Tribolium castaneum: one gene and its partner. The protein of the gene in region 1 interacts with the protein of each later gene in a pairwise test. Links are inferred from orthologs where the notes say so. Each region holds a gene or a part of one and is shown in the gene's direction. Other genes may lie near its edges.

Region 1 (3,389 bases):
TGGGTTATGCTGGAGTTGTCTATGAACATGTTTTGGGCGAAAATAAATATACTTTCGTTGAGGAATGCAAAATACCACAGTCGGTCACCATTCTTATTAAAGGGCCCAATAAACACACTCTCACTCAAATCAAGGATGCTGTGAGGGATGGATTAAGGGCCATCAATAATGCCATAGAGGACAAAGCCTTGATTCCAGGTAATAAAAAGACAAAACTGAATTAAAAAAAAATTAAATTATCCTTTTTATGAGTTTCTACATGGGAATTTTTGCTGAATTTCATCATAAATCTCCCAAAAAATCACCAAATTTGTGTATTTTTTAAATTTTGTAGTCAAGAATTGTAAAAAATCTAAACTATCGTTAAATTTAGGCCGTTTTTCAAGCATATTTGCACAAAACTACAAAATTAAGCCCAGCATTATATTATTTTTGAACTTTTTTTAAGGTTCCAGCGCATTATTTTTCAGTCAGAAACTCACTCATTTCCCGAAATTAACAAAATATCTAGTTGCTTAATGGATGACGTCACAGTCATTTTGTGACGCGTCTTAAAAATGTGCGTTACTAGGCTTTGAAATTGTAAATAGGGGTCAATGACCTGACCTGGCCACACAATTGTTAATTTATTAGACTCACAATGCGTTTTCCGTTTAAAATAGAGCTCAAAAATTGAATTTACGAGTTGCTTCAACTACTCCCATCACCAAAAACCCAACTTCGGTACTTACTTGTCAATGTTGAAAATCGCCGTTTAGATCAACACATCGGAACACTGAAAGTCTTTGAACACTTTTGCACAAACATTTGCACGAAATAACCGATTTAACAGCGATTTTTCCCGAATTTACTAAGCGGTAAGCGGCCATCACGAAATTTGATGCACCGCCAATTGTTTCGCTACCAACCGTACCAATAAAATCACTAAATGTCATAGCGCTTAATTCAAATTGATTTTGCACACAAAACAGTTTTTTGTGATATTTTTCAGGCGCAGGGGCTTTTGAGGTGACCGCCCACAAAGAATTGATGGCTTACAAGGACACCGTTAAAGGAAAATCGCGTCTTGGAATTGGTGCTTACGCGGAAGCCCTTCTTGTAATTCCCAAAGTTTTGGCAACGAATTCTGGTTTCGATGCTCAGGTTTGTGTGATTTTCTCATTGATTGTTTTATAGTTATTTGTTGTTCTTAGGATACTATTGTAAAACTTCAAGAAGAATCTCGTAACAATAAGGAACCAATTGGGCTTGATTTAGCTTCAGGACAACCGATTAATCCGAAAGATGCCGGAATTTTCGATAATTACATCGTGAAGAAACAAATAATTAATTCGTGTTCGGTGATTGCAAGCAATTTATTGTTGGTTGATGAAATAATGAGAGCCGGAATGAGCAGTTTGAAAGGTTAAATGGATTTTTTTTGTCAGTAATTTTATTCACGTATTAATGCTTGATTTTGTAATTATTATACAACAATAATAAAGGATTTTAACACCCATTTTTTGGCCAAAGCTATTATTTGGCGATCGTATAGTAATTTTGTGTGTCTGAAGTTGGTAATGTGTGTCTATTTACGCCAAAAAAAAGACAGGTTATTGTGATTGACGTGAGTGCGATAGAGACGGGGATAATTGTACCCGATTGGTTGGTTCAAAAATCTCCAACGAACTTTCTCCATATTTCTTCAAACGAGCCGTTAAAAGTGTGTAAAAATTAACAAAACTCGTGTGCTTTGAATAAAATATCGTGTTTGTGGTCGTGTAGGCATTGCAATTTGACGTTATAAACGTCATTTTAAGTGGAAAGTTTGGTTATATTGGGGCAATGTCGAAACAGGGGGCCAACATGGATGACTTCCTCAAGATCGAAAAAATTGGTGAAGGCACTTACGGTGTGGTGTACAAGGGCAAAAACAAGAAGACGGGTCAGCTAGTCGCAATGAAAAAAATCCGACTGCAACCCGAAGACGAAGGTGTGCCTTCCACAGCCATTCGCGAAATCTCCCTCCTGAAGGAGCTCACACACCCCAATATAGTCTCCCTGGAAGACGTGATGATGGAAGAGAATCGTCTTTACCTAATTTTTGAATTTTTGTCAATGGACTTAAAGAAGTACCTCGACACCATCCCACAGGGCTCCTACATGGACCCCCAACTCGTCAAAAGCTACCTCTACCAAATCAACGAAGCCATTCTCTTCTGCCACCAAAGACGAGTCCTTCATCGCGACCTTAAGCCCCAAAATCTGCTCATCAACTCCGAAGGGGCTATCAAAGTGGCCGATTTTGGACTAGGGCGCGCCTTTGGGGTCCCGGTTCGCGTTTACACGCACGAAGTTGTCACTTTGTGGTACCGCGCCCCCGAGGTGCTCCTCGGCTCTGCACGTTACTCGTGCCCTATTGATATTTGGTCTCTGGGCTGCATTTTCGCCGAAATGGCCAACAAAAAAGCCCTTTTCCAAGGCGACTCCGAAATCGACCAACTTTTCCGCATTTTTCGGTAATCAAATCATGTAACTATAGAAACGAAAACAACTTGCATTTTTTTTCGATTCAGGGTTTTGAAAACACCAAGCGACGAAATCTGGCCAGGGGTGTCCACATTACCTGAATATAAGGTTACGTTCCCTAATTGGAAATCATGTACTTTGGAAAGTCAGGTAAAAAATATGACTAGCGACGCTATAGATTTGTTGAAACAAATGCTGATTTATGACCCGGCCAAGAGGATTTCGGCCAAAAAAATCGCTTTACATCCGTATTTGCAAAAGGTTGATACGTCAATAAAGCCGATCCTTAAATAAGCGGTTAGGTTTAGGTTTATCGTGTTTAGTATGACTATTTTCTAAATATATTTGTTTAAAAAATCTTTTGTGTTTGAAAACCTCCTTAATACATCATGCACGAGCTGCACGTGTATATTGCTATGGTGATGCGTCAATGTAGCTATGGTAACAGTGAAAGGAAATGCGGGACAGTGGCGCAACATAAAGCAGATCATTTGGGAACATAGTTTTAATGAAACAATTGAAATAAATACATTTTGTGCAATTCAACAACGTCTAGAAAAATAAATTGTACCCTAAAGTTTAATTAAGCGTTGAAATGTTTTTTGTGTGAATTAATTTGTGCCATTTAGGCATTTATTTAAAAAATTGCATACGCTACTCACGTAACTTTCTTTATTTTCGGTGTAGTGTTTAACATGAGGACTTGTTTCGTAACAGAGAGTTGTTACATCGATACCCAGAGATTTTCGATAGTTGGCGAAATATTCAATATCCTTGAAAAAAAAAAAAAGATGATTGGCTACAATAGTTAAGATGGTTACCGTATAAGGAATAAGAATGTCTTTTTTCGAGTAGATAAAATGTTGGGGACAGTTGTTTTT
Region 2 (4,594 bases), on another chromosome or scaffold:
TGCAATCTCGAACCAAGTCTTGTGTTACCACACAAAATTTTGCTTGGCAAGGTTGGAATCGTACCAAACATCTCACATTACTGCCAATTTCCAATATTACGTCAGAATTTAAAACAAATTCGTGTTTTTTGCAATTGTCGGCTAAGTATTGCTGAAACTTTTGAACCACATCAATTGAATAATCCCGTTTTGTGTAAATTTCTATTTCTTTGATTTCTGGCAAAGTACTGATGTGGGGTTCTAGTCGAATTCGTGCCCCAACTTCACAATTCAAATGAGTAAAAAGTGTATTGCTGACAAATACATTCTCTAAGCACAATTTATTTTGGACAAAATCGCTTAAAACGTCCTCGACAATAATTAATCTGACGTAAAGCGATTTGTCGACGTCTTCGTTACTCAACAATTTTAGTAAAAACAATGTGGTGTTATTTATTGTGTCTTTTATTTTTTGTGGGACATTGGCCCTCAACACAAAAACGTTAAATGGAGAATTTAAATCGCGCATTTGCGAAACTATTTCTTCAAAAGGCACGATACGCAAAATTAAATTTTCATCATTGTTTTTACATTCAGGCAGAAACTTTGATGTTTTGTCTGTGTTTTTAGACTCATTGCTGTTCGAAATTGGATGAATTTTTTTTTCTGGTGCTATTATTACGACTTCGGTCAGATTATCAATTTTGCCGGGAGAAATTGGTTTAATATCACCTACAATTAATTGAATAATAGTTATAAGGAGGGAGGAATGGGCACATTATTATAGTGACTGTAAGCGACTTACAGACAGTAACAGTTACATGAATTGTTGCCCCAATCCAAATGACAAATTTTTGTCCATTTGTGAGAACACGAATTTGCTCAAGCAAAGTGGACTGAACATTTTCAGCTAATGATTCCTGAAGTTACATGATTATAAAATGCAAGATAAGAAGATGAAGTAATTACCAAAACTAAATGGTCATTACTATCAACGGCCGTTATTGTAACACTCTGAATTGTTGGAGGTTTTGATATTTCAGAAACAGTAACCAACGAATTGTCCTCAAGGCCCAAGGCCTTCGCATATAACGAATTAATACCAAGACTTTGGTCATCAACTGATCCTGATAAAGGGTCAACGGACACGTGGATTGCTTCATTGTCATTGTAGGACAATTTGAGGACATTCTTCAATCAGTCGTGACAATATTAATTTAGCGGACACGAGACAATACTTACATTCTGTAAATGTTTGAAATTATTAACAGACAAGACACAGAAACAGTTTTTTGAGGTTACGTATCTGACAGTTAATAATCCCTCAAACATTTTTTAGTTGAGTACCATAAAAAAATGCAAAAAAATTAGAGGAATTTATACATCTGGGCAAAATCAACACTTTTCACTTAAATAAATAAATTAAACCTTTTCCATAAATTACAAATCGCGTTTTTGAAAGTCACCAGCAGAGGCCTCGTCTGTCGTACAACTTAAATGCAAAAAGATTTACAATTTTAATCCTGTTTAACACAACTTATCAATTTTGAACCAAGTGTTACTGTACTTTAACCACTCGTTAACTTTTTTGTGTGGAATCGACTCCAGTTTGTGCAAATAAATTATCAATATATACGATTCAAATTTACCACCACTGTTTCATCCCTTCTATTTTATTTAACTACCAATGGGGACGAAGCAGTGAAACGTTTCAAAACAACTGCAAGCCGACAAGCTTTAAACATCAACGAACTTCACATGTGAATTTTTACAAGCTTTTCTACACTTTTCTACAAGCAATTTTACAAGTTTTAAGGAGGTAAGTGGTCGTTAGTTTCTCGTTCTTGGGGGTACTTGTTTCATTGACTAGTTTTTACACCATTCTAATTCATAATCTAACGTTTTTCTAAGCGGCGACATTAACGAACTTTTTGCTTGAACAGTTTTTATGCGGTTTTTTCTGAAATTTGTTCGTGATTGCAAGCTTAGGAACGATCCGAATGTGGATATTAATCCACATTTCTGCATGAAAGGGGTTTGGTTAAAAAAGGCGGTAAAATGCAGATGAGATAAAACAGGGTGTAGTTTTGTTTACAATACTGCAAAGTTAGAGAAAACGTAGCGAATGCTTTACTCAATTAGCGATCAATTCGATAAATAGCATTTTTGGGGCGTAAAACTAACATGGGTTATGGGGTCCTGGAGTTGACATTTGATTTTCTTCACCAAATTTTTATTTTATTCAAAAGGGACTCATCATCACACACATACACAAATAACCCGAGACATTTCTGTTAATTAATAATGAAAGTTGTGAGTGAGGTACGTAACGGTGCATTTTTGAGAGCCCCCTGTTGAAGGTCCCTTTTTCCAGAACATTGCGATGGCTCCCTTGAAGCCCCTAAGCAGAGCCGTCACAGGCGCCATCCGTACAAACCAAAAAGCCTCAGTTTCCACCCGAAGCCGGTCATCAGTCCTGACAAACGCCCAAATCCGCCCAAAACGAAAAGCCGACTTTTCCCCCGTCAAAGAAAATGTTAAACGATCAGCAATGGGTGACATCACCAACAACAAAAAGTTCGATGATAAAAAGAAAGCCACTTTAAAACAGCCCGCGAAGAAGACGATCGTTCAAGTCAAAACACTGCCCTCGGTGAGAACCGTGCTCAAGCCCAAGCAGAACGAGAATGTTCTGCCCCCGCAAGCCCCCTGTCTCAACGGGGTGGTGACTAGGGCTGCTGTGAAAAACGTGACGACTGGCCAGACGGCAGTCAAACCCAAAGAAGCGCTCAAAGAGATCTCTAATCCTCGCATCAAGACAAGACTGAGCAACGAGTTTGAAAAGACTGAAGAATCTCTCTATTCGTCAGCGTTGGAGGAACTGTAAGTCGCGCCAAAGCAGATTTTTTCGCGTAATGAGGGATGGTTTTAGCAATGATTCCGTTAGTTCCAGCGGAGCCAAAGCGAAAACGCCCCCCAGTGATGAGAAATCCCCGAACCTATCTGTGGTGTCCATCGTGGCCCAGCAGCTCCAGAACAAACTCAATCTGGGCATTCATGAAGTTCCCGAGGGAGTGCCCGACTTTGATAAGGAGAACTGGGACGACGTGCACCAGGTGTCCCACTACGCCATGGACATTTTCAATTACATGAAGAGTCGAGAGGTACTTTTTTATTACAAATCAACTGTTGTCAGATTTTTTTTTTTGTAAAAATCCAAAGAAAGGCTGCATATTTTCGGTGTTTAATGCATTTAATTTAAGTGTTAAAATTATTTTTTGGGCCGCTGGTAGAAAAAATTACGTGTTTTAGCCGCAGTTTGAAATCGCCGACTACATGGACAGACAAGTCTGTCTCACGAGCTGGATGCGGTCGCTTCTGGTGGACTGGATGGTTGAAGTGCAAGAAAGTTTCGAACTGAACCACGAGACGCTTTACTTAGGAGTAAAATTAGTGGATTTTTACTTAAGTCGGATGACTGTCGGCAAAGAGACCTTGCAATTAGTGGGCGCAGCTTCCATGTTCATAGCTAGTAAATACGACGAAAGAATTCCGCCGGCCATCAACGACTTTTTGTACATTTGTGATGGGGCATACACGTGCCGGGAGCTCGTCCGAATGGAAATAAATATTTTAAAAGTCTGTGATTTTAATCTGGGCATTCCAATCAGCTACAGATTTCTCAGGAGATACGCTAGAGTAACAACTCGTCACATATCCCTAAAGTTTTACCCCAACTTTACTTTCAGTGTGCCAAAATCACAATGCCTGTGCTCACCCTCGCAAGATTTATTTTAGAATATTCGCTGATGGATTATGCCACTGTTACTGTACGCGACTCAAAATTGGCCTCAGCGTCACTGTATCTGGCGCTCAAGATGAAGAAAATTAGTGGGTGGACGACCGCCTTAGAGTTTTATTCAGGTGCTTATTTTATTTAATTCAAAAAAATACGTATTACATTTTGTTGTTTCAGGCTACAAACTTGAAGATTTTAAAGAAGTTGTGATTTTACTAAACGACGGGTTACACAAAAAGCCGAAAAGTCCGCTAATGACTGTAAGAAATAAGTATTCCCATAAGATATTCTTTGAAGTAGCCAAGATTCCACTAATAAGTAACGAAGAATTGTTTGTTTAGGCCAATTGATGGGTAAATGTCTGTAGTTTTTGACGCTTTACTTGTTCGTAAAGTGAGTTTTTATATCTGATTATTCGCATTATTTAAGTCCAGGTCTGTCTAGATGTATTTATTGTTTTAAAATTATATTAATTTTTATCGTGTGTGGCATTAAGTAAATTTTCGTCAAATTTTATTACGGTTGATGAAGACATCGACAAGATATGGTTTGTACTTGTTGATTTATGTTGAATAATGAGTAATTTAAGTTACACAAGCATTGAATGATTATTACCTAACGTTTGAACTTTAGGCGCCGTTTTTACGTAAGAAGTTACATCAGGAGAATTGCTCGTTCAATTGAATAAAACATTTCGTGTTATTGGTACAAATGTCAATGGTTTTTCTTCACCTTGCATCCTTTCATTAGCTTAATTACGTTAGATTTATTTGTAGTTCGGGGATGTATGGACGAAAACAAAGTAAATATTTCACT

Evidence for each region.
Region 2: the proteins of Cdk1 (region 1) and CycB3 interact in binary tests that used the Drosophila melanogaster proteins (3 or more experiments, as listed by UniProt). The link is inferred for Tribolium castaneum from reciprocal best matches to the Drosophila melanogaster genes Cdk1 and CycB3.

Annotation. Positions count from the first base shown.
Region 1 is NC_087401.1:17,534,719-17,538,107, reverse strand, and holds Cdk1 (cyclin-dependent kinase 1), read left to right. Parts: upstream 1-1,616; 5' UTR 1,617-1,824; coding exon 1,825-2,498; intron 2,499-2,555; coding exon 2,556-2,802; 3' UTR 2,803-2,869; downstream 2,870-3,389. Other genes in the region: CCT6 (T-complex protein 1 subunit zeta), read left to right, coding at 1-198, 992-1,143, 1,194-1,409; transmembrane protein 53, read right to left, coding at 3,120-3,281, 3,330-3,389. UniProt on the Drosophila melanogaster protein: Plays a key role in the control of the eukaryotic cell cycle. Required for entry into S-phase and mitosis.
Region 2 is NC_087398.1:2,984,255-2,988,848, forward strand, and holds CycB3 (G2/mitotic-specific cyclin-B3), read left to right. Parts: upstream 1-1,658; 5' UTR 1,659-1,798; intron 1,799-2,228; 5' UTR 2,229-2,283; coding exon 2,284-2,301; intron 2,302-2,353; coding exon 2,354-2,862; intron 2,863-2,911; coding exon 2,912-3,143; intron 3,144-3,291; coding exon 3,292-3,678; intron 3,679-3,728; coding exon 3,729-3,903; intron 3,904-3,955; coding exon 3,956-4,119; 3' UTR 4,120-4,262; downstream 4,263-4,594. Other genes in the region: uncharacterized protein Pex1, read right to left, coding at 1-711, 785-899, 949-1,170, 1,222-1,311. UniProt on the Drosophila melanogaster protein: Cyclins are positive regulatory subunits of the cyclin-dependent kinases (CDKs), and thereby play an essential role in the control of the cell cycle, notably via their destruction during cell division.